2 linked regions of the Ovis aries genome follow. The protein of the gene in region 1 interacts with the protein of each later gene in a pairwise test. Links are inferred from orthologs where the notes say so. Each region holds a gene or a part of one and is shown in the gene's direction. Other genes may lie near its edges.

The links.
Region 2: the proteins of DMC1 (region 1) and KCTD17 interact in binary tests that used the Homo sapiens proteins (3 or more experiments, as listed by UniProt). The two-hybrid records come from large-scale screens. The link is inferred for Ovis aries from reciprocal best matches to the Homo sapiens genes DMC1 and KCTD17.

What each region holds. Positions count from the first base shown.
Region 1 is NC_056056.1:216,033,784-216,046,009, reverse strand, and holds part of DMC1 (meiotic recombination protein DMC1/LIM15 homolog), read left to right. Parts: intron 1-1,092; coding exon 1,093-1,134; intron 1,135-2,322; coding exon 2,323-2,395; intron 2,396-6,792; coding exon 6,793-6,884; intron 6,885-7,292; coding exon 7,293-7,366; intron 7,367-7,491; coding exon 7,492-7,606; intron 7,607-7,957; coding exon 7,958-8,018; intron 8,019-12,226. UniProt on the Homo sapiens protein: Participates in meiotic recombination, specifically in homologous strand assimilation, which is required for the resolution of meiotic double-strand breaks.
Region 2 is NC_056056.1:181,105,999-181,118,224, forward strand, and holds the end of KCTD17 (BTB/POZ domain-containing protein KCTD17), read left to right. Parts: intron 1-909; coding exon 910-1,001; intron 1,002-1,930; coding exon 1,931-2,026; intron 2,027-3,788; coding exon 3,789-3,914; intron 3,915-4,420; coding exon of another isoform or gene 4,421-4,498; exon of another isoform or gene 4,499-5,240; intron 5,241-5,246; coding exon 5,247-5,316; intron 5,317-5,508; coding exon of another isoform or gene 5,509-5,864; exon of another isoform or gene 5,865-6,825; intron 6,826-6,923; coding exon 6,924-7,303; 3' UTR 7,304-7,813; downstream 7,814-12,226. Other genes in the region: TMPRSS6 (transmembrane protease serine 6), read right to left, coding at 11,435-11,593, 12,124-12,226. UniProt on the Homo sapiens protein: Substrate-adapter for CUL3-RING ubiquitin ligase complexes which mediates the ubiquitination and subsequent proteasomal degradation of TCHP, a protein involved in ciliogenesis down-regulation.

The sequences.
Region 1 (12,226 bases):
TCCCTGCTTGGGGAACTATAATCCCACAAGCCTCTTGGTGCAGCCAAAAAGAAAAAAGAAATCCATGCATAGCTATTTTATGTACTGCTCCTGACAGTTCCATTATTTTCAGTCCTGAGAGAACCAAATCTGTTTTTTTGTTTGTTTGTTCAGTGTTGATGTTTCTGCTGACTTGGAGAAATAAATCTTTGTTTATTTCTGTTGACTTCCAGTCTTAATGGCTTGTTGTTTGGTCGCTAAATCATGTCCGACTCTTTGCAACCCCAAGGACTATATAACTCTCCAGGCTCCTCTGTCCTTGGGCGTTTGCAGGCAAGAATACTGGAATGATTACCATTTCCTTCTCCGAGGGATCTTCCCCAGCCAGGGATTGAACTGCGTTTCCTGCATTGCAAGCAGATTCTTTAGCACTGAGCCACCTGGGAAACCCATTTGAATGACTTCCCTTCTTGTGTGTTTATTGATATTTGTGAACATATTTCTTGATTTTAATCTGTTGAAGTTCAATAGGCCTAAATTGGTATAGTGGGGATGTTTTTCTCTAGAGAGTATTTGCTTTTGTTGGTAGCTAGGAGATACCACCAATTTGAGGTTGGAGGCAAGTCTGGCTCAGAGGTTAAAGCTTCTGCCTGCAATGTGGGAGACCTGGGTTCGATCCCTGGGTTGGGCAGATCCCCTGGAGAAGGAAATGGCAACCCACTCCAGTATTCTTGCCTGGAGAATCCCATGGACAGAGAAGCATGGGATCACAAAGAGTCGGACACAACTGAGCGACTTCACTCACTCACTCACTCTGATCAGTGGGAAAACTCCAGGGTCTCTTTCCTGTGGTGGAGCCTTACACTTTCATTTATATGATTATTCCTAAGAAAAATTTGGGTTTTACTATCATCTAAAGGACAGTTCTGAAAAAGAAAACCTTTAAAAAGTTCTTTTTATTACTGGTATTCATATATGCAGAATCCATTCATGACATAGAGGCACTTCGTGTGTGAGATTGACAGTTGGAAAAGGAAACCATACTCTGAGACCATATCTAGTCTTTATGAAAATAATCTAACTATTAACTATTTTTTTCCCTATGTTTCACAGAATTTCGAACTGGAAAAACCCAACTCTCTCATACCCTCTGTGGTAAGGATATATAATCTCATGTAATCTGAACAAACTTGCAAGGAAACTAAAACTCAGAGAGATTACTTAACTCTCCACGGTTATACAAATACCAGAGCTGGTCTGTAAATGTGTGATACATGAGGTCATGTTGCATGTACCGCACTCTGAACGACTGAATGGAAACAGGGAGGAGGTAAATGGATATATGAATGTATTGGTGGAGAGAGGTATTTGTTCATGGCCTCGGTTTTTCTTATTCTGTCTTTTGTATATATGTTTATAAGAATATCACAGAATCTATTGAGGCTTTAGAATTCCTTACTTTCCATAGAGTAAGGGTGGAACTAAAAAAGACTTAAAATAAGCAAAAATATCTCCTTTTACATAAAGTCATTGTATTGCATTTCTTAGACCTAATTAGAAGGAACATGGTTAAGTGTTTAGTAAGGGGATTCTGGAATACAAATAGGTCTACCCTTAATAGCTGCATGACCTTGGTTAAGTTGCTTCACCTTTCAGATTTTTCCCATCAGTAAAATAGGAATAGTGATAGAGCCATTTTAGGATTGTTTTGAAAAATAAATGAAATAATGTGTGTGCTTAATGCAAAATAATTCCTTAGTGTTAATACTACATATAAAGAAAATACATTTAAAATTAATGCATACATTAATTGAAAAGTTACTTAAATGAGTTGCATAGCATAAATTGTATTTGTGATTATTTCTTATAGGAGGAAAGTAATATTTAAATTCTCCCTCTGTTCTTTTTAAAAAAAATTTTTATCAAAATATGGTTGATTTATTATGTTGTGCCAATCTCTGCTGTACAGCAAAGTGACTCATTTATGCACATATATATCTTCTTTTCTGTTATGGTTTATTGCAGGATATTAAATATAGTTTCCTGTGCTATACATTAGGACCTTGTTATTCTACTTCAGTTCTTTAGGAGAACTAAATTTCATGAATATCTCCCATTGTGAAAGATACTAACATTCTTTGCTGAATTATTGTTATGCTGGAAGAATACTTATAATTTTGCCACTGGTTAGTAATATAAAAATATAACATGCTATTTAGAACTATTATTTGCTAGATGGCTAGAGAGTTGCAACCAGAATAAATCCCATGTTAGTTTGTATATCCATTTGTACAGAGTTTATTCACTCTTGTTAATATTAATTAATTTTTAATTGCTTCCTAGTGACAGCTCAACTTCCAGGAGCAGGTGGCTACTCAGGAGGAAAGATTATTTTCATCGATACAGAAAATACTTTGTAACCCTTTTATTTATGCAAATTGCAAACATAATAGTGTGATATAGTACTATTACTATAAAAGAGAATTTGTTTGAAATGTGTCATTTTTATAACTATCCTGTAAACCAATAATAATGAAAAAAAACCAAGGGAAAACAGTTGCTAGTTGAGTTCTCAAATCACTTTTTCCCTCTTAAATCTTTTTAAGAATTGTGTATTTATTCTTATTGACATAGAGTTGATTTACAATGTCATGTTAGTTTCAGGTATACAGGAAAGTGACGCAGTTATATATATATAGGTATACACACACACACACGTATATATACACACATGTATATTGTTGTGATTGTTTAGTCACTAAGTTGTGTCCAACTCTTGTGACCCCATGGTTTATAGCCCACCAGGCTCCTATGCCCATGGGCTTTCCCAGGTAAGAATCCTGGAGTGGCTTGCCATTTCCTTTACCAGGGGATCTTTCCAGCCCAGGGATCGAACTTGCATATCCCACATTAGCAAATGGATTCTTTACCTCTGAGCCACCAGGGAAGCCCATATACATACATATGTATACATGTGTGTGTGTTAATCACTTAGTTGTGTCCGATTCTTTGTGATTCCATGGACTGTAGCCTGCCAGGCTCCTCTGTCCATGGAGTTTTCCAGGCAAGAATACTGGAGTGGGTAGCCATTCCCTTCTTCAGGGGTTTTCCCAACCCAGGGATCAAACCTAGACAGATTCTTTACTGTCTGAGCCACCAGGGAAGCCCATATGTGTGTGTGTGTGTGTGTGTGTGTGTGTGTGTGTATATATATATGTATATATATATGTTCTTTTTCAGATTCTTTTCCCTTATAGGTTATTATAAAATACTGAATATAGTTCCCTGTGCTATACAGTAGGCAGTAGGTCCTTGTTGTTTTATATAGCATATATATGTTAATTCCAAACTCCTAATTTATCCCTCCCCACTGCTTTTTCCTTTTTGGTAACCATGCTTTTTTTTCTATGATCAAATCATGTTTTATTTAAAAAGGTTTCACTTCTCCAAATGGGTTTGGTATAAAATTAACAAAACAAATACATGAGAGGAAATTATATCTTATTTGTTTTTTAATCCTCCTACTTCTCCGAAGATTTAGATTAATAATTAGAAGATTGTTGACTCATTTAAAGTCATGGTCTCAAATAAAGGAAAGGTCTGAACTGAAAAAAAATACGAAAGGAAAAAGAAAAGAATCTATTTGGGTAACAAAAAGAATTGCAGTTTTGTTGAAGTATCAAGTTATTTCAGAATGCAAGGCTGGAAATGTGGCTCTTAGACATGAAGGGCCCTAAAGCTGGATGATGGGTGTAAATTGGATACTTTTGCAGTATTCTAGGCAAATAATGAGATTTGATGACTGTACTTGATCGACAAAGGGAAGAGAGGTTTGGGAAACCATTCATAGGTTTGTCTACATACTCAGAGTAATGATGACGGAATTCAGAAGCTCATGTTTCAAAGGAAAAAATGATGTTTCATTTTAATATGTTGAGTATGAGGTACAGAAAGACATTCATATGGCAGTTGAAAATGTTGGACTCAGCTTGATATGGATGGGATGGCCAGGGAAAAGCAAGAGAGTTTACAGAAAGAGAATGGAGAGCATAACTTTGGGGCATGCGTATGTCTAGGAAGAGGGGATAGATGAAGTAATCTGGTGGTGGATGCCAAGCATAAGGAAAGTTTCAAAAAAGGATTGGGACTTCCCCAGTGGTCCAGTGGTTAAGAATCTGCCTTTCAAGGCAGAGGATGTGGGTTCCATCCCTGGTCAGAGAACTAAGATCCCACATGTCCTGGGCAACTAAGCCCTCGCCACAACAAAAGAACCTGCCTGCCACAACTAGGACATCATGAAGCCAAAAAAAATATTTTTTAAAAAGAAAAGGGGTTCCATACAGAGAGAGGGTGTAAACTGAGAAAGATCACTGAGATTTGCAATTAGGAGTCCAAGAGACCATTTGCAGTAAAGAAAGATGATGGAAACTTGTTGCAAATAAACAGTAAGGAATTGATGTAGTGTGTAATTAACCAATAAATAGAAGAAGAAATAACGATAGTTTGAGGAGCTATCAGGCTCAGAAGACATTGCTTTTAACAATAGGACTGAAGCAAGAATTGCTCAGCTGGAGTTCAGCTAGTTTCAGAAATAGTTGATTAAATATGGTTCTTTGAGAGGGAGGAATTGTTCTTGAAGAATATCTGCTACTATTTGGCAATTTGGATTTTATCCAGAATGGTAGAAACAGCTAAGAGCCATGTGTAAGAGGGAATGCAGGGGAACAAGGATGTGCAAGGGCGCAAGTGAAATGTTCTCATTCTTTCAGTGTCTCTTGCATGTATACTGCTCTATCTTGATATTTTTCTTTTTATGTGCTTATATTTTGCCTACATAATTATATTTTACACTTACTTATGGCATAAATTATCTTATGACTCCTTAAATCCTCCATAGTGCCTTGCACTGGTAATTGGTTAATATGCTGGTAATTCCATTTGCTGATCTGCTAAAAAACATTTGTAAATTGGCTTGAACTTCCTTTTAGTGTAAGCCCAACTTTACATTCCTGATTATATAGTTACCTGGTTTTATAAAAACTGACATAGTGAAAAAAATTTATTTATCTCTTTCAATTCCTTGTCTTCTTTGACTTGTCTATCAGTAACATCTGAGTATACTCAGCAGCAGTAGAAGATTTTAGTGGCTGTCACTGTAGCTCTGAAGAAAACATATATAGTGCTGTAGGATGACTGGGATGGAGAAGGCAATGGCACCCCACTCCAGTACTCTTGTCTGGAAAATCCCATGGATGGAGGAGCCTGGAAGGCTACAGTCCATGGGGTCACTGAGGGTCGGACACAACTGAGCGACTTCACTTTCACTTTTCACTTTCATGCATAGGAGAAGGAAATGGCAACCCACTCCAGTGTTCTTGCCTGGAGAATCCCAGGGACAGGGGAGCCTGGCGGGCTGCCGTCTATGGGATCACACAGAGTCGGACACGACTGAAGCGACTTAGCAGCAGCAGCAGCAGCAGCAGCATGACTGGGAAATGCTAAAGACAGTTCAGCATTTACTGGACTAGTTCCAAGTGTCAACAAATAAGGTTATAAATGGTCCCTGGTTTATACTTCCCTGGTAGCTCACCTGGTAAAGAATCTACCTAGAATGCAGGAGACCACAGTTCGATCTCTGGGTAGGAAAGGTCCCCTGGAGAAGGGATAAGCTGCCCACTCCAGGATTTTTGGGCTTCCCTAGTGGCTCAGACGGTAAAGAAACTGTGTGTAATGCAGGAGACCTGGGTTTGATCCCTGAGTTGGAAAGATCCCCTGGAGGAGGGCATGGCAACCCACTCCAGTATTCTTGCCTGGAGAATCCGCATGAACAGAGGAGGCTGGCAGGCTGCAGTCCATGGAGTTACAAAGAGTCAGACATGACTGAGCGACTAAGTACAGCACAGCATAGTATGATCAGTATTAACACAGATACTGTAAACAAAGTGAAATGAGTCCATGGACATGCATTTTATCTTATGTCATTTTAGAAAATATTGGGATCACCAAAGACCTAAAAAGATGTTTATTGATACTCTTTATAGTCTAGATAGATATAAGTGAATATTAACATCTTCCAGAATACCTTTCCAGGTACACCGAATTTGTCCCCTCTATGAATTTACTAATTTCAGAATGCTATTACAACTCCTTTAGAAGAAAGTGGATTTTAAACCCAAAATAAATGAAAAACTATATGATGATAATTCCTTTCTGTATGTACCCTTAAAGTGACTTTTTTGATCCTTTGGTTCATGTAGTCAAATTTATCATTTATTGGCAACATGTGATTAGTGGTATATTAAACTGTTGCGTGTTGAACAAGTGAGGAACATGAGTGAATTAATTCACTTTGAAGTGACTTGAATTATAATTCAGTGATATTATCTTCATAGAAGAGATCTATTTTTATAGAACTGAGAACAAAAAAGGTTCACAAATCTTAATTTCTAGTTTTTCTCTTATAACTGATTTGCTGCTTACCTCTGAGTCATTTGCCTAATCTCTGTCAATGTCCTTATTTGTAAAATGTAATATAGGCCATAACAACTCACTTCCAAGGTTGTTGTTTAGATTAGATAATTTAATATTTAAATTCATTACTGTCTCATTATTTCTATCACTGTTATTACTACCTAATTAAGGCACTTAGGTAAAATAAAGTCTGATATAGATTTTAGGTGATTATTAGCATCCTCAGAATACCTATGCAGGTAGAGCGTTTTGCCTCTCATTTACTTAGAGCATTATTGTTTGTAGTTGTTGTCTAAACTTTTTGGAATTGATTTATTGAATCCTTAATCTGGCATACTCCAGCCGTCCAGATCGCCTTCGGGACATTGCTGATCGCTTCAATGTAGACCATAATGCAGTTCTGGACAATGTACTTTATGCACGTGCATATACTAGTAAGAACCCCATGCAATTGGATGCTTAGGCTGTTTTAAGATTGGCAGCATTGATGTATTATTTGAACGATACTTTATTTTAACATTATTCTTTTCTCTTTCTATTTTACTTTTCTCCAGATTTATTTAGTCAGTCCACAGATTTTATTATCTAAGTCCTTAGACATTGAAATGCTCTCAAATTATTTCTTATTCTTTGTCTTTGAAATGGAGAGTAACATTCTTTTGGATAAGGTATCATTTGGTATGTATGCTACCATATTTAATAAAGTAATAATTAAGAAATCCTAAAAAAAAAAAAAAGAAATCCTTCAGGGGTTCTCTTTTGCTGAGTTCCAAGGACAAACATGATCTTAGTCTCCGCTGCTTCTAGCTTTTATAACATTTTCCCACTGCATTTCCCATCAGGTGAACATCAGATGGAGCTACTTGATTATGTAGCAGCAAAGTTCCATGAAGAAGCTGGCATCTTTAAGCTGCTGGTACAAGCTTTTCAATACTGTTCAATCTGCAGCTATTTAGCATATTATCTTTCTTCTGTTGATTTTAGTTCAAATTAACTTCCATTTCCAAATGCATTATTTATTTTTACATTAATTTTGCACAGATCATTGATTCAATAATGGCACTTTTCCGAGTGGATTTCAGCGGTCGTGGGGAGTTGGCTGAACGGCAGCAAAAACTGGCCCAGATGTTGTCACGACTCCAAAAAATCTCAGAAGGTAGATGTTTAAAATAAACGGTGATATTAGAATAGCATCTGTGACTATTTGCTGAATAAGCTTTGCAGAGAAGCTCAGAATAATGTCAGGAGACAATCTGTTTTTTAAAAGATAAAATTTCCTTCATGGGGATACAACACTTTTTTAAAACCAGAAATACTGATTCTAAAACAATAAGGTACCTAAATAATATAACAATAACTTTGTGTTAACAGTGAAAAAACAGGAATGTAATCTTGTTTATCAAAGAAATTCATGGCACAGTGTTTCTAAACTCTGAAATCTAAGCAATAAACTTTTAATATTTATATTGCCATTCTCTTAGTTTCTTAATTTTATTTCTTGATGCAGAATATAATGTAGCTGTGTTTGTGACCAATCAAATGACTGCTGACCCAGGAGCAACTATGACGTAAGCCCCAATATTCTGCTTTTGTATTTCACAAAAGTTAATATTAGAAGCGTTAAAGTGGGGGAAAAAAAGGGTTTAGAGTGTAGAATAGGAAATAATTCCAAAATTATCAGTCTTGATATGGGCACAAATCTGTCACAAATCATGTTTTACACGGTGCATATCACTTCATAATTGCAAATATCACTTATTTGGTATCCAGATCTATTTGTCTCTAGTTCTTTGTAAAACAAAGCAATATTTTAACTATTTTCAGAGATATTTGGGGTTTTTTTTGTCTAAGATTTAAAGGATATTGGAGAACAATAAAAAAAATCTTGGAAATAAAAACTTATATACAAGATACATGAATGGTTTCTTACAGGGGGGGAGGTGACATTTATTATGTGCAGGAAGTGATGTGGAGACTTCTCTCACCAAAAATACATGAATGGTTTTTGTTGCACCGATAAGCTTTTAGCCTGAAAACAGAAAAGCAGGCTCTTTACAGGATATACATGGGGTATATTTGTAAGAAGTCCTAGGAGAGAAGTCTCCTATTTGAGGAAACAGAATTTCAGTCCATGCTAGTCCATGTTAGAAATATTCATTTTTTGTTGACGTATTGTGCACATAACTTACATATTGATGACTATTCTTGAAAGATGGCAGTGAATAGAAAGATAAGGAGAGTGAAAGTAGTCTAGTGAAACAGAATTCTAAGAAAGGTTAGTTGCCACCATCAAAAATTTTGAGCAGTATGTATCTGGATAAGCAATCCAAATAACCCTGAATCTATGTATTGCTTTTTTAAAGATCTTTTCAATGGCTTTTTATTTATAATAATTTTTAGCCAGAGAAAAGTTGCAAGACTAGCACAATAAATACACAAGTAATATCATTTGCCTAGGTTCATCAGTTGTTAACATATGTGTTTGTGTGTGTGCATGTGTATGTAAAATCTCTCTATATACTGCATACGTACACAGGCTTATATATGTATGTATATGTTCTGTGAAACCTTTGAGAGTTTTTTTCCCTGAATTATTGAGAATTATTTGCAGACATCATGACACCTCACTTCTTAAATTTCAGCATATCTCTTCTAAGAAGAAGAACATTCCTGTACATAACTACAACATAATTAGCACAGTCAGGGTGCTAATTTAATACTGGTGTACTAGTTGTCTAATGTACAGTTATGTTCAAGTGTCTCCAGTTGTTCCAATAATAGCCTGTATAGTTTGAAGGAACATGCATTCCATGTACTTGTCATGTCTCTTTAGTTTCCATTAATCAGAACAACTCCTCAACCTTTGTTTTTTGTGACATTGATGTTTTTGTTGCACCATGCGGTACACAGGGTCATCAAGTCCATGCTGCCTGCATTGGGAGCATGTGACATTTTTGAAGAGCACAGGCCAATTGTTTTTCAGAATGTCTCTCAATGTGGAGTTTATTTTTTTCTCATTATTTAAAACGTTAAACACATTTGGCAGGAAAACTATAAAAGTGATGTTATATATCACTTTTCCATATATCATATCAAGAGGCACACTCTTTCAGTTTGTCCCATTATTACTAATGTTAAGTTTGATCATGTTATTAACATGTGTTCACCAGATTTCTCCATTGTAAAAAACCTTTTCCCCTTGGTAATTAATAAGTAATTTCTGGGGTGATACTTTGTGACTTACATAAGTGTCATGTTTTGCACCCATTGATTTTAGCATCTATTGGAGATTCTTTTGTTTTTAATTATTTATTGATTGATTGGCTGCACTGGCTCTTAGTTGAGGCACACAGGATCTTCCATCTTCACTGGGCGTGTGAGCTCTTAGTTGCAACATATGGGATCTGGTTCCTTAATCAGAGATCAAACCCAGGCTCTCTGAGTTAAGAGCACAGAGTCCTAGCCACTGGACCACCAGAGAAGTCCCTATTGGAGATTCTGTTTAAATCAGTTATTACTGTGATGGCTGCAGTACAAAGTTCTGTTACTTTAAAACTGAGTCAGTATGTCACTTGTTAGCAGATAAATCAATCATTGATATATATGAGAAGATATTTGATATAATATTGTAAATTCTGAAAATTGTTCTGAAATGAATGTATCTCTCTTTAGGCATTTTCTGAACTCATCCTAAGATTATTGCTGCATCTTCTGCAGTTTGATATAGCTCTCACTTTTCAGTACCATTTTTATTTTCTACTTAATTACAAGAGATTCCAGTGTGAAAAGTTTTAACTACATGAAAGGTTTTAAGCACATGGTTATTTTTTGGTTTGGTCATTCTTTTTGGCCTCACCTTGAGGCATGTGGGGTCTTGGCGCCCTAACAAGGGACTGAACCTGAGCCCCCTGCAGTGGATGTGTGGAGTCCTAACCACTGGACCACCAGGAAAGTCCAAGCATGTTAAAATGACTGGGGCGAGAGAAATTATTTATTCATTCAATATATATTTATTGAAAATATACTATGTAACAAGATTCTGGGAATTCACTAGTGAACAAAGGAGACTATCTGCCTTGCCTCCATTAGGGAAAAACAAAATACATGATGTCCATTTAATTTAAATTTTCAAGTCTTGATATGTCATGCAAAGTCTGTAGTCCTTGAATGGTTAGGGCAATCTCTGTGTTATGTGGTGTCTTTCATACACAGGACATGAAGTACTTCACAAAAAGAATAATTTTAAGCTGAAGAGAAATGGAAGATTTTTAAGGCTCACTTTAAAAAGAGAAAATGACTCATTGGCTCAGAGGGAGGAAGTGGGTTGCATTCAAATAAAACAGTGCAAGTTAAAGAGCAATGTTCTTTCTTCAGGTGTTGGGAGGGAACATTGAAGAGGCCAAAACTGTCGATCTAGAGTTAGAAGGCAAAAGAAGTCTGTGGAAATTAGGTCAGATAGGATTCTTTTTCTTATATTTGTAAAAAGTTTCAAAGAGAATCAAATCATTTTGAATTGACTCCAGTAAGAGAAAAATAAAGAGGTGACAGAAAGAAGATAATTGAAGAGTCAGAGAGCAGAGGAGATATGTAATGAAGGAAGCTAGGTAAAGAGCCAAAGAAAGTAACAAAGGCTCATATTTTTGCTTGGTGAATCTGTTTTGAAATAGCATCTCCTCCACCTGGCTGGGTTATACAGAAACAAGTTTCATTGTAATTAGTATATTCTAAAATGTATTAATATTATGACAATATAAATTAAATGCATGTGCTGTAAAGCACATAAATTGCCACAACTAAATTAAAAAAGAAATTTTAAACTAAAGAATTCCAAATGCTATTAGAATACTTTCCATAAAGAAAATATCTTTGTTTCTCAGTATTAAGGAACTCCAAGCTGCAGCTCTCCTGGAGCCTGTCAGAGAAATATCACTATAATTGGTATGAGTCGCCAAGTACATTGACAATAATTGAGGCTTATATCCCATGCATTATACTCTATGGCACATCGTATTAAAAAGGAACAAAATTACAGAGGCGAGGAGCTGCCATATGATACAACAGAGCAGTAATTCCTAGATAAGGCTCACAGATGCAGATTTTAGGACTAGAATGATCCAGTTGATAAAGGCCTGGAAATAGTCAAAGTATCAGCCTGTGAAGCTCCATACCACAGCAAATAATCAGATAAGCAACAAATAAGACCTTGATGTCCCCCTACTTCATTTGTGTATTTGTTTCCCTAAAACAAAAAGTCATCTTAGAATGTTTTTAGTCCGGTAAATGTGCAGTTTACTCTTTAAGGATGTCACTTACTGATTCTACATCATTAGTATAAATTATTGAGGGCAGGAGGAGAAGGGGATGACAGAGGATGAGATGGTTGGATGGCATCACTGACTCAATGGACATGGGTTTGGGTGGACTCCGGGAGTTGGTGATGGACAGAGAAGCCTGGTGTGCTGCGGTTCATGGGGTCGCAAGGAGTCGGACACGACTGAGGGACTGAACTGAACTGAAGAAGCAGTATGGTAGAGAAAAAACATTAAGCCAAGATCACTAGCATGCTGACCTTGTGCAACATTTAAATTATTTGAAATTAAGAGCGCTTATATTTATTGGTTGCTTACCATGTGCCAGATGCTTTCACTTATCATCTCATGTAATTCTCATATCACCCCTTCAAAGCTCACCTACTGTGCTGTGCTTAGTCCCTCAGTCATGTCCATCTCTTTGTGACCCCGTGGACTGTGGCCCACCAGGCTCCTCTGTCCATGGG
Region 2 (12,226 bases), about 35 Mb from region 1:
GATACAGAGTTTGCTGTCTGTCATCTGTAGGGCCCCACGGGGGGCATTCCTGGCAGTAGCACGCACTGACCACCTCCTCTGTGTTAGGTGGATGTGAGCACTGGGGACAGCCAGGGACATCAGATGTGGGTCCTGTCCCGCAGGAGCCCAGAGGCCCGTTGTGCAAAGGACCTGCCCTGAGGAGCTGAGGGGGGTCCAAAGGCTGAGGGCTGTCCCCCTCACCAGAGAGGCACTCGCTCAGTCTCTAAGATGGCTCCCTTACCTGCGTGGGGACAAGCACGCCCTGGGGCTTGTGATGAGCACGGGACAGGCTCTGCAGACTGTGAAGTGTGGTTGGTCAGTGCACAAAGATCATGCACTTAGTGGGATTGGAGGGCAGAGGCACTTGAGTGGGAACCCCAGCTCTGCCCCATGCTGGGTGTGAGGTGTTGCACAGCTACTGCCTTGCCTGGCCCTTGGCTTCCCTGTTTGCTCGGTGGGGGTGATGAGAGTATCTACTTCTCGTGCTGAGAATGAACTACAGTAAAGAGTGCAACCTGCCTGGCGTGGTGCCTGCTGCTTAGCACGTGCTTCATCAGTGGGAGCATGTAATCAGGGGTCAGCCAAGGCCCCTCTCACTGTGGCCTTCTAGGGTCCAGTCCCATGGGCCTGCTGCCTCTGGTTAGCCCCAGACGGGGGGACTGGTAGGTGTCCCAGGTCGCTGTGCTCAGCACACCAGGGAGATGGTGCCTCTTAGCCCTGCTATAGAGAGTGTGAGTCCCCAAGAAGGGAGTGTTCCCTCTTGCCTGACCCCTGAACTCAGAGAGGCTCGTCACCCTAGTGTGATGAGCAGGGGGTGGGGATGGAGGGGACAAGGCGAGAATGGGGCATGGGGGCAGTGGGAGTGATGTGGGTGCTGCTCTGTGTCAGGGGTCCTGGAGGAAGCGGAATTCTACAACATTGGCCCGCTGATCCGCATCATCAAAGACCGGATGGAGGAAAAGGATTACACCGTCACACAGGTCAGGGGGCAGCGGGGCAGCATCCATGGCCAGAGCAGGGGGTGGTGGGGAGTGGGGAGAAGGGAGGTCAGGAGAGACAGAACTAGGTTTTCTTGGGAAGGCCGAGCTGCCCTGTAAGGGGTTGTCCAGCTCCCAGATCGCCCCGCAAAGCCCCAGACTGGGAGACATGTATCAGGTTCTGTCCTTGCCTTGGCTCTGCTGTGTGACCTTGGGCCAGTCACTTCACTCTCTGGATCCTGATTTCCTTTTGGGGCATATAGAGGTACTGAGAACTGCCCACCCTTCCCTTCCTCACAGGCAATATGGAGTCAGTATGAGGGTACAGGGGTCCTTGTAGGGGCAATGGGGATTAGTACACCATCCATTTCATGGGCTCAAGTGGCCCCCTGGAGCTGGCATGTCTGAGCTTGGACCCTGGACCTAAGTGGCCAGTCTGCAGGAGGAGCTGGTGGACTTCTCTGCCCACCCTGGGGGAGAGGTAGAAGATGAGAGATGGGTAGGGAGGCACTGTCTTCCACTGTCCTTCTCTCCCCAGGAGCTTGAAGAGGGGGTGCTCTGTCTCCTGGAGGACCTGCCTCAGTTAGTGGCCCAGGATGCCTCCTAAGCCCTTCTTCCTTACCCCTTGTATCACCTGTGTCCCAATTCTGGTCCTGCAACTCTTTAGCTGGGTGACCTTGGGCCAGTAACCAACCCTCTCAGAGCTTCCATGAACCTTCCTAGGGTTTTAGGTGGGATTAAGTGAAATCACGCATGTTGAGTGCCTGGCACATCGCAATTACTCAGAATGTGACTTCTGGCTTACCACCCCAACTCCATCCCCTCCTTCTGTCCTTCTTAGGGGTAGAGGGTAAGTGAAGAGCAGGGGCTCTCCCATCCCGGGATGCTGGGCACTCCCACAAGGTGCCCTCCACATCGCCCTCTGCCCATAGGTCCCACCCAAGCACGTGTACCGCGTGCTGCAGTGCCAGGAGGAGGAGCTGACGCAGATGGTCTCCACCATGTCTGATGGCTGGCGCTTTGAGCAGGTGGGTGGAGCACGCAGGAGCCACATGTCCAGGCAAAGCAAGCTCCTCTCTTCCTGCAGCCCCAGCCTTGGGGTTCCCCACTGCAGCCCCTACCCAGGAGTCTTCTTAAGGCAAACAAACAAGATTAAGAAAGGCCACACTTGGCAGCAGATTGATTGGGAAGGAGAGACAAAGGAAGCCCCACGGGCCACAGGCAGCTCTGGCAAAGCCTCCCAGGAGCTGGGTAGCATTTACACCGAAGTGTGTGAGTCTCTGCCCCCCCAAGCGACAGTTCTGATGAGAGGAGACAAGAACCGTAGAGGAGAACGGAGGTCTCCTGGGGGCCACACCTCTTGTAGCAACTCCACAGGCATAGATTCCAGGTCCCCACAAGGGACATGCCCAGTTCCAAGCATGGCCGCCTTCAGAAGCACAGAGCGGCAGCCTCCCCTGAGGTATTCACGATGACCTGCATTTCCTTCCAGTGCTGATGCAGTTTACCAGCCAGGAGAGATTTTTATCATAAACAGGTTGCCCTAGTAATCCAGTTGACGTCACACCTCTCTCAGGTTTCCAGAGGATCAGAGCCAGCAAGCCAACCCAAGGTCAGATTGGCCCTTAAGAAGAGAAGGGTTGCACTGCCTTTTATCCACACAAGCTCCCTCACACCTGGAGGTTGAAGAAAGGAGAGGAAGGCCAGGCTCCCCAGGATGGCCAGGCCTGGGGGGAAGAACAAGGCCAGTCCAGGAACTGGAAGCCTGGATTCACATCTAGGCTTCACCACTGATGTGCTCTGTGACCTTGAGCAGGTCATCTCTCTCTTGGCCTCAGTTTCCCAATCTGTGACATGGGCCAGTAGTGCTTCTTTTGCCAGAACATTGTGTAGATTAGAAAGACCATGGATCAAGTCTCTAGCCCAGGGTAGGCCTCAAAACAGTGAAGCTAGCTAGCATCCTATGAATTATTAGAAGCATTTGACTCTGTAGGATTCCAGAGAGGACTCAGGGTCCTGGATTCAAATCCTGTTCCACTCATTCTGGTTGTGGGACAAACCATCCCTCAAGGCCTCATCTGCTAAAGGGGCTGGCTGGTTTTTCCTCTGTCTGCAGGATGAGGGTCCCTGGGGGCTGAATGAGACCCACCATGTGCAGAGCTTTTATCAGCCAGGAGGGGCCTTCAGATGTAGTTATTTTAGGGATCCCAGACCAAAAGTGGGGCTGCTTTCCTCTGCTCTCTAGGTGAGAGTCGCAATTGCATGGGCTCCTAGAGGCTGAGCAAACATGCCAGGCACCACTGGCCTAAGGAACAGGTGATCTGGTCTACCTCTATTTCCAAGAGCAAACAGAATATTCTATGGTGCTCCACCAGGTCATGTGGACCCCATCCCGCGACTTGGTTCTGGGGCTGCTTCAGCCACACCCAGGACACAGGAGCACAGTCTGCCTGTTACAGATCTCTGCCTGCTTCTGGAAGTGGCCTGCTAGATCTGGGACTAGGCCGAGTGGGGGAGAAACAGCAATGATAACTGCCTTCCCCTAAGGATCAGGCCCGGCCAAGCCATGTGGGGAGGCTGGCCCTGGAAATTGACCAGAGGCATAGGCTGGGGAGGTGGAGAGGACTCTGACTTTGGGCCAGAGGTGTCCTCTGGAAAGCCAGGGGGATGGGCCTGAATGGAGCAGCAAGATAGGGCACAGTCAGTATCTTGACAAGTGCCAATGTTTGCCCACCCCTGCCCCCCACCCCACCTGACCAGTCATTTTCTCCCCACGCGCCGTCCCTCCAGCTGGTGAACATCGGCTCCTCCTACAACTATGGCAGTGAGGACCAGGCAGAGTTCCTGTGTGTGGTGTCCAAGGAGCTCTACAGCTCTCCACATGGGCTGAGCTCCGAGTCCAGCCGCAAAACCAAGGTGAGCCCCCCGCCCGACCTCAGCCTCCCTGCCTTCCCTCCCTCCCCTTGCTGCCCTCCGCCTGGCCATCTGTGCTTCTTCTTTCTCCCTCCTGCTACACACGCCTGACGCCCTGATCACAGCTGATGCCATCCATCCCATGCCACCCATGGTCCTGTCTGCCCACGCCAGTTGCCCAGGCCCAGGCTCCAGGGACAGTGAGAGGAGATTAGCCCCAGGGTGTGACCAGAGTGGACTTAGATGTTACTTGGATGGTGGGCACATGGCGGCCACGGGGCAGCATGGCACCGGGAGAATGCACTGGGCTAGGGGTCTGGGCGTGGTGTGAGTGCTCTGTGTGACCTTGGACAGGTCGCATCCTCTCTGTGCACCTTGGTTGTATTCTCAGAGAAGTGAGGGGGTGGACCACCAGCTTGGAACTTCTGCGATCCAAGGGGCCAGTTTAGTTCCTGGGGACCAGGGCTGGGGCAGGGAAGCTGAATCTGTTCATTCTGCCCCTTCTGCAGGCTCCCCACATAGGACTCAGCAGCAGAGGGGTCTGGAGCCCTCAGGGTCCAACCCTGTGTTGCCATCCTGGCCTGTGAGGCAGCCTCAGCTGGCTGCAGGGAGGGGGTTGATCGAAGGTCCTATCACCCCAGACCCTGAGTTGGTCAGAAGCCTCAGGAGTCCAGGGTGGAACCAGCAGGGCAGGCAGCAGCCAGGCTGGGAAGAAAGGAGAGCGTTCCTTCTAGAAGCCTGTCCCTGTGTGTTGAAGACTTAGGAACTCTGCTTCCCGTCTGTTTGTCTGCCTTCCTGTGCTGTGACTTCCCGTGCCCACCCCACCCCCAGCGGGGCCAGTGGCTGACGTGGCCTTGCAGGGGTGCAGGGTGAGCTGGCTGCTCCTGCCTCTCTGGGAGAGACCTCAGGATCTGGGATGTCAGAGCCAGTGCTGGCATCTCAGATCTGGCTGGTGTCTGCTGTGGGCCTTCCCTGGCCTCATATGTACTCTGGGTTGGTCCTTCTAAAATGAGGCCTTCCCAGGCACCCCTCAAGGATACCCCAGCCACACACCCACCCTCTTCGTCTCCACCACTGTCACAGCGGCAGCGGCCAGCATCCTCAGCAGGTCTCCACCCTCCCGCTGGTTACCCCGGGCCCCTCCCCAGGCTTCCTGGGAGGGACACGATGCCCCGGCTTCTGTGGCTGTAGCGCTCCCCTCCCCTGAAGGTCCTCCTTCTCTTGCCCCTCCCCTTCACCCTGAGACGGGGGCCCTCGGGGCCAGCCGCCAGCAGGCCCCGGTCCCCCGGTCAGTTCTGCGCTCTTTCTTCCCTGGGTCCGCCGGCTGGTTCACAGAGCGCGGAGGAGCAGCTGGAGCAGCAGCAGGAGCAGGAGGTGCAGGTGGAGGCAGATACGCAGGAGAAAGGTGCAGCCAACCCCCGAGGAGAATGATTGCTAGTAGAAGCCGGCGCCTCCCGCCCGCTCCCTGCTGGAGCCAGCTGCAGAGCCTGGGGTCCCGGGGGCGGCCGGGGGTCGGGCGGGCCCACCAGGGTTAGCTCAGCCGCATGCCTGGCGCCTCACCTGCATAACCATCCCTTCTCTCACTTTCTCTTTGCAGCCCAGTCATCTCAGGATCCCGCTAACCTTTTCTCCCTCCCACCACCGCCTCCTCCTCCTCCGCTCCCCGCCGGAGGTCCTGCCTCATCTTCATCCACCTCTTCCTCCTGGATCTCACCTACACCCTGCCTCTTCCCTCTCTGCCCCTGTCCGGGTTTTCTCTCTGCCTGCTCACACCTCCATCCCGGGGCTGTCCTGGTCCCAGCCTCCTGCGCCCTCCACCCAGGCGCCCCGGCCCCGCATCCCAGAGCACCCTGCCTGCCGCCTCCTGCACCCCTTCTGGCACCTCCTGCCTCCCGGGCCGGTGGGGAGGGGAGCAGCTGCACCTCCTCAGCGCCCCCTGCCGGCCACGTCTGAGGCACTGCTCCAGCGCTTCACGTTCTCCTCACGTTTCCTCCTTGCAGGTTTCTGGCGGCACCCCCTCAGACCTGAGGTGGTGCTTGCAGGGAGGGCCTCCCCTGGGCCCCTCGCCTGCCCCCAGAGCTGCCATGCCTGGTTCGTAGCCTGGCGGAGCTGGAGGGAGGGGCAGAAGCCAGAAGGGTGCTCATCTCTTATTTCTGGAACTTGAGCCGCACTTCCGGCTGAGTTTCTCCCCTCACCCAAGTTTCTCAGCCTATCTTGGCCTTGGGTGTGAGGCTCTGAGAGCAGACAAGAGGGGGAGGAAATTCTCTCCCACCTGCCCATCAGCATCAGAGCCACGCTGGGAAGGAGGGAAGGGAGACGGAAGCCAGGTGCCCAGACCTCACCCCTGATGCCCAGGACTCCTAATCACAGCCTCGGGGCACTGGGTCCCCGGTTTCTGCGGGGCTTGGAAGGACAGGCCACACTTGGATGCCTGTGGCCTTGGGAGAGTCAGCAGGAGCTGGCTAAGGATTGGGCTGTGGCAGAAGCAGCCCTGGCCAGGAGCCCACAAACCCCCACTCCATCTTATCTACCTGCTGTGGCCTTGGGCAAGTCACTGTCCCTCTCCGGGCCACAGTTCTCTAAAATGGGACTGACAGCTGTTCTCTGTGACCTCTTGCCTGAGACACTGGTGACCAGCCTCTCTTGACTTTCACTCCCCCAGCCAGAGTCTTGGCAGAATATGGACTCCTAGGAGGCCACCACCCAGCCCAAGATGGGGCGTGGGGTTCCCAGCAGACCAGCAAGCCGGGTCGCCTTCCTGTATCCCCTCCTCCTCAGCTCTGAATCCACCTTTTCTGGGCCTCAGCCCTCCTTCCTCGCAGAAAGGACCTCGTGACTCACCTAACTCTCTCTCTCTCCCTGTCTCCCCCACCCGCCCACCCCCTCCATTTCGATCTCCCCTCTGCCCTTCTCCTGGCCCTGCACTCCCGTCTCCTCACTGGCCCCACCCCCCCTCCCCTCCCGGTGTTCTGACCACCCCCACCCCGTCCCCCTGCCCCTCTTATTTTCTAGCTGTTACAAGCCAGAGGCACCCGGATGTAAGGCCCCAGATCGCCTCCAGGGACTTGGGGTTCCGTTCTGAAATCCTTTATTTTTGTACCACGGGGTGGGCCCCCGGCCTGAGGCAGAGGAAGAGATCTCCCCGCTGTCACCTCTGTCTACACCCTAGGGGATGTCACTCACCCCTGCCTCCGGGGTCCGGGAGGGGGCCCGCGGGGACCTCTCAAGCCCTGAGGTGGGCCCTGGGACCCCTGGGCAGAGCTGCCTGCCTGTGGCCGAAGTGTGGTGTTGTCCAGCTGTGTCTCCCAGGCCCCCAAGTCCCTGCCCCCAGGGCCCCCAGCTGCATGGCAAATACTACGCTCCCCCCCAGCCCAGTGACGTCACCTCCTTGAGCCTTAGTCTCGCTGTGTGTCACCCAGGTCACGTCCTGCCCTAACCTTGTGAGGTTACCAAGAGGGGCGAGGGCCCTGAAGGCCCTCAGGGAGGGTGTAAAACGCAGGCTGGCCCAGCACAGAGATGCAGGGATTGGTGGGGGTGAAAGGTCTGGGGGTCGGCCATATCGGAAGGAGAGGGTGGGTGACTTGGCCTTCAGCTTGGCTGCTCCCCACGCCCACCCCATCCCCGCCATCCGTACTGCTGGGCGCAGAGTGGCCTGGCCAGGAGGGCAGCGGGCACTGATTCAGCAGGGGCAGTGGGGCCCCTCAGGAACTGATGGCAAGGGAAAGGGGACCGTCCTTCCTCCACCCAGGGGAGAGGCTGGGGCTGGCAGGGGCTGAGCGAGGGGCCTCTCGCGTTTATGGGCTCCTGGGCCAGGTACTTGCTTCTCAGTTGTGTCCAACCCCATCGTGTAATAAAACCTGAATAAACAGCCAGCCTGGCTGCCTCCCTTTCTCTGGGCCACATTTGGGGACAGCGCTCTGTGGACTTAATTGTGTCTGATTCTCGTGACCCTGTGGATGAGTCCACCAGCCGCCTCTGTCCATGGGATTTTCCAGGTAAGAATACTGGAGTGGGTTGCCATTTCTTCTTCCAGGGGATCTTCCTGACCCAGGGATTGAACCCATGTCTCCTGCATTGCAGGTGGATTCTTCACCTGCTGAGTCATCAGGGAAGTCCCTTGGATCAGGGGCTAAACTTAAGGTGGGATACAGTCCAAAGGTAATGGGGCTTTTTCCCCAAGTCCTGGGGTCTGCCTGTTGTCCCTCTCCCGTGTGTGTTGAGGGGGAGTATCACGGCTGGATCCTCTGTCTCGTGGATGGGCGTCCAGGGTACCAACGCTGCCTTGCTGGGTAAACTTTGGAAAGTATCTGCCCCTCTCTGGGTCTGTTTCTTCACGGGTAAAGCAAGGGGTTGGACGAGGTGACTTCTAAGGCCCTGCCCCCAGAGTTACTCAATCTCCCACAGCCTCCAGGCAGACGTGGATTAGCTGGGATGCTGAGGGCTGGGGAGCTGGGCTTCCAGGCACCTGGAGTTTCCCTACCTCACCACACTGTTCAGCTGGCCCTCTTCTCCCCGGCTTTGCCCTGCCACCTCCGCTCCATCCTAACCTCCCAGGACGTCCTCTCTGCTTCCCGCTATGATACCTTCTGGTCACCTCCACCCCCTGTCCCAAGTCCTGAGAAATACAAACCCCAGGCTCCCATCCATCTTCTGAGTCCAACAAAGCCCTGCCCACCCCCACCCAACTTGGCCAATTCCTTCACCATGTGCTGGTCCTACTGAGTGTCTACCTTGCCTCCCTCCTCCCCTCCCCCCAGCAGTTTATTTTGCAGGTGTTTTGGGGGGACATCTCTGCAAAGCCGTGATCCCCTAAGCAGAGGCCCTCCCAAGCCCACTCAACGGTCTGGGGGCCCTCACCACTTCCCTTGGGGCCACCTGGCTCTCTGGAGTTGACTTCACTTTCTGTATCGCAAAAGGGTCACCAGGAGGCTTGTTAAAAGAACAGATTACAACCCCCACCCCAATTTCCACTAAGACTAGGATAAGGCCAGGAGTTTGCATTTCAGCAAAGCACCCTCTGGCAGTGTTCTGCTCCCCCTTTGAGAGGCCCCTGGGGTAGTCCTGTCCCCTCCCCAAAGCTGACCCCCCCGTAGCAGCTGCTCCACCTGCTCCGTCTCCACAGGGGCCGCCCAGCAGGTGGAGGGCTCCCCACGCGTGGCTTCGGCGGCCACTCCTCGTCTCCCTTTGAAAACTCTGGAGACTAGGTCCCTGCTGAGGCCCCCGCTGCTTCTTCCTCCCACTCAGGCTCCAAGGAAGACGTGTCTGCGCTTGACACCCTCCTTCCCTCCACCAGGGCCCACCCCACAGCCCTCCCTGATCACTCCCACTCAGGCCACAGCCTTGGCTGCCAAGACCCCACCCCTCAGCTCCCCTCCAGCCACTGGACACACCACCCCTCAGCCTCCTACTCTGGGCCCCCACTTCTACAGTGCGTGTGTCTCCCCTACCTCTTTGGTCTTCCCTGGACCACCTTCCATGCAGGGTGGCTGGAAAATCCCCCCTCCAAACCTCTCTCAAGCTCTGCCTATCTCCTGGACATCTCCCTCCTAGAGGCACCCTAAGTTCATGATACCTTCCCAGAGCCTTTCCTTCCCCAGGTGCCCCAGGTCAGGCAATGGGTCCTCCACCAGCCCAGCCAGGAGAGGTCCTCAGATTACCCCCACCACCAATGCACCTGGAGGATAATGAAGGTCCTTCAATGCTGTGTCCATCCCCACTGCCCTGCTTGGTCCAGGCCTCCTCCTTCTTGAGTTCTGCAGCAGCCTCCTCACCAGCTTCCCTGCCTCCCATTTTCTCCACGCTGATGTCCATGTTGGTTCTAAATGTTAAGCCACTTGTGTGTCACCTTCCTGCTCTAGAACCTTTCCTGGCTCCCCAGAGTGCCCAGCATCAGATCTTTAGCTCCACTCCAAGTTCTTTGCCATCTCATCTCAGTTTGCCCCTCCCCAAAGGAATTCTGCAAAGAATTCCTTTGCTTTGCCCCTAACCCCAACCTCTGTCCAAACTAAAAACAACTTTCCCTAAGAGGCCACTGACTTTGAGGACTCTGTGCCTTTGCACATCCTCTTCCCCTGCCTGGAATGCTCTTCCCTCCTTTGGCTGCCTTTGAATCCCAACTCAAGTTTCCTCCAGGCAGCTCTCCCTGACTTTCCGAGTTACTGGCTGCCTCCCCCAGAACCCTTCACACTGGATCACCATCCCACCCCTCTCGAGATTAGGAGCCGAGTTCTGTGAGCTCCATGACCCCACTACAGCACTTGGCACGTGGTCAGAGCCTGTGAGGTGCTGAATAAGAGACACAGAATGCAGAGGCAGTGCTGAGACAGAGAAGTGGTCGCCTGGGAATCAGGAGACAGGGCTTCCGCCCCAGGCTCCACTCCTGACCCCTCCCTGGTGGGATCAGGAGGCTCCTTGTCCCTCAGTTTCCTCCTAGGCTTCCAGAAGCAGCCCAGCACTTGTCCCAGCTCTGACTCTGACCTGTGTGCGTCTGACTCTTTGTGGCACAATGGACTGTCGAAGGGAGTTTCCAGGCAAGAATACTGAAGTGGGGTGCCATTTCCTACTCCAGGGGATCTTCCCAACCCAGAGGTTGAACCTGTGTCTCTTGCATCTCCTGCTTGGCAGGCGGATTCTTTACCACTAGTGCCACCTGGGAAGCCCAACTCTGACCTGACGGCACCCCACCACTGCCTTTCCAGGGTGGCTCCTGGGATTTAGGCAAATGCCCTGGAGGTCAGCCCTGCCCCCACTGACCCCGCCTTGGCCTTCTGGACACTTAGCCAACAGGCTGAGCAGACAGCAAGGGTCTGTTCAGTCAAGGGCATGAGATTGGTGCTGGGGCCCCATTCAACCCCCAGAGTAGGACCTTGGGTCAGACGGCTTTATTCCACAGGGCAGCTGAGCTCACCTCCTGGTGAGAATGGTCAGTGAAGTCCCAAGGGGCAAGTGGGGTTGGGAGGACCCTGGACCCAGGGCTCCCCACACTTTGGCTTGCAGTGGCGGCTGGCCCACTTGGCTGTCTCCAGGACTGTGAGGGCCCTTCCTGTGGGAGCACCTTCCTCCTCCACCACTCAAGTTAGGCCGAGGGCTTCAAAGGCCGGAATCTGCTGTCTGGAGAAGATGCCATCCCAACAGCCTTTGCACTGGGGCAGGGGTGGTGGCGGGAGGACCTTGCAGCCACAGGATCACTGCTCAACTCTTCCCCACAAAAGTCAGCAGCGGAGGAGCAGGGAGGAGAAGAGAGAATCAGGAGGTGACAGCCTGGATGAGAACCCCCCATCCAGGACTGGTGACCATCCCAGGCCCTCAGGGGTGGTCTGGACCACCAGCGAATGGCCCACCTCCCTCCTTGTACCCTCACTGAGGCTGATATCAGGCATTAGGTTGGGGGACAGGAAAGACACCACCTCTTGTCCCCTCCAGGCCCTGCTGCCTGCAGAATACTTGCTCCCAACCCCCCCAGTGGGTGCCCTGGGCTCTCTGAGTCCAAGAGGTAGGCCCCTGCTCTGCAGGGGGGCAGCTCCTCAAGTCAGCACCTGCTGGATCCAGCTTATCACACCAGTGATGCGGGTGTAGACGCCAAAATAGTTGGGCCGGCCGCAGCCCAGACCCCAGCTGACAAGCCCTGCCAGGAACCAACGGCCACTGGGCTCCTTGCACACCAGCGGGCCACCTGAGTCACCCTGTAAGGCGCGGAGAGACAGGACTACGTCAGGGTAAAGGAATCCACTTCCAGGTAAAGGGCTGGACTACTGGGGATATTCTGAGAGTGGCAGCAGGAAAACGAGAACTGCTTTGGAAGCCTCCGATACATGGAGGAAGCCCGAACCAACCCAGCCTGGCCTCCAGCGGGGCCTGGCTGTCACGGAAGCTTGAATGTGTGTCCCAATGCCCTGCCCAGCTCTGCCTCCATTCTGTGGGCTCTGTCTAGTCCTCTCTGCTGGGTCACTTGGGCAAAGTGCCTCTCAGAGGATAAGAAGCAGCACTGGGGTTGGGTCTCAGACCTGGCACCTGGGTCTCTTCTGATCTGGGGTCTGCAACCTGGAGGCAGTCTCTCAACCTCCCAACCCTCAGTTTCCTCACCCACAAGGTAGGGACAGCCAAGCCCACCTTGCCATGAGGCTGCTGCAGGCTGCTGTGAGCCGAGGGCCGGGCCCTGGGTGATGAGAGCCGTGCCCTCTCCCCACCCCCTGGCACACTCCGCGGGAGTCACCTGGCAGGCATCCTTCTTGCCGTTGCGGTAGCCGGCACACAGCATGCGGGGTGTCACCTGGTAGCGGTAGGCCTCGCTGCACAGGTCCTGCGGGATCAGCTGC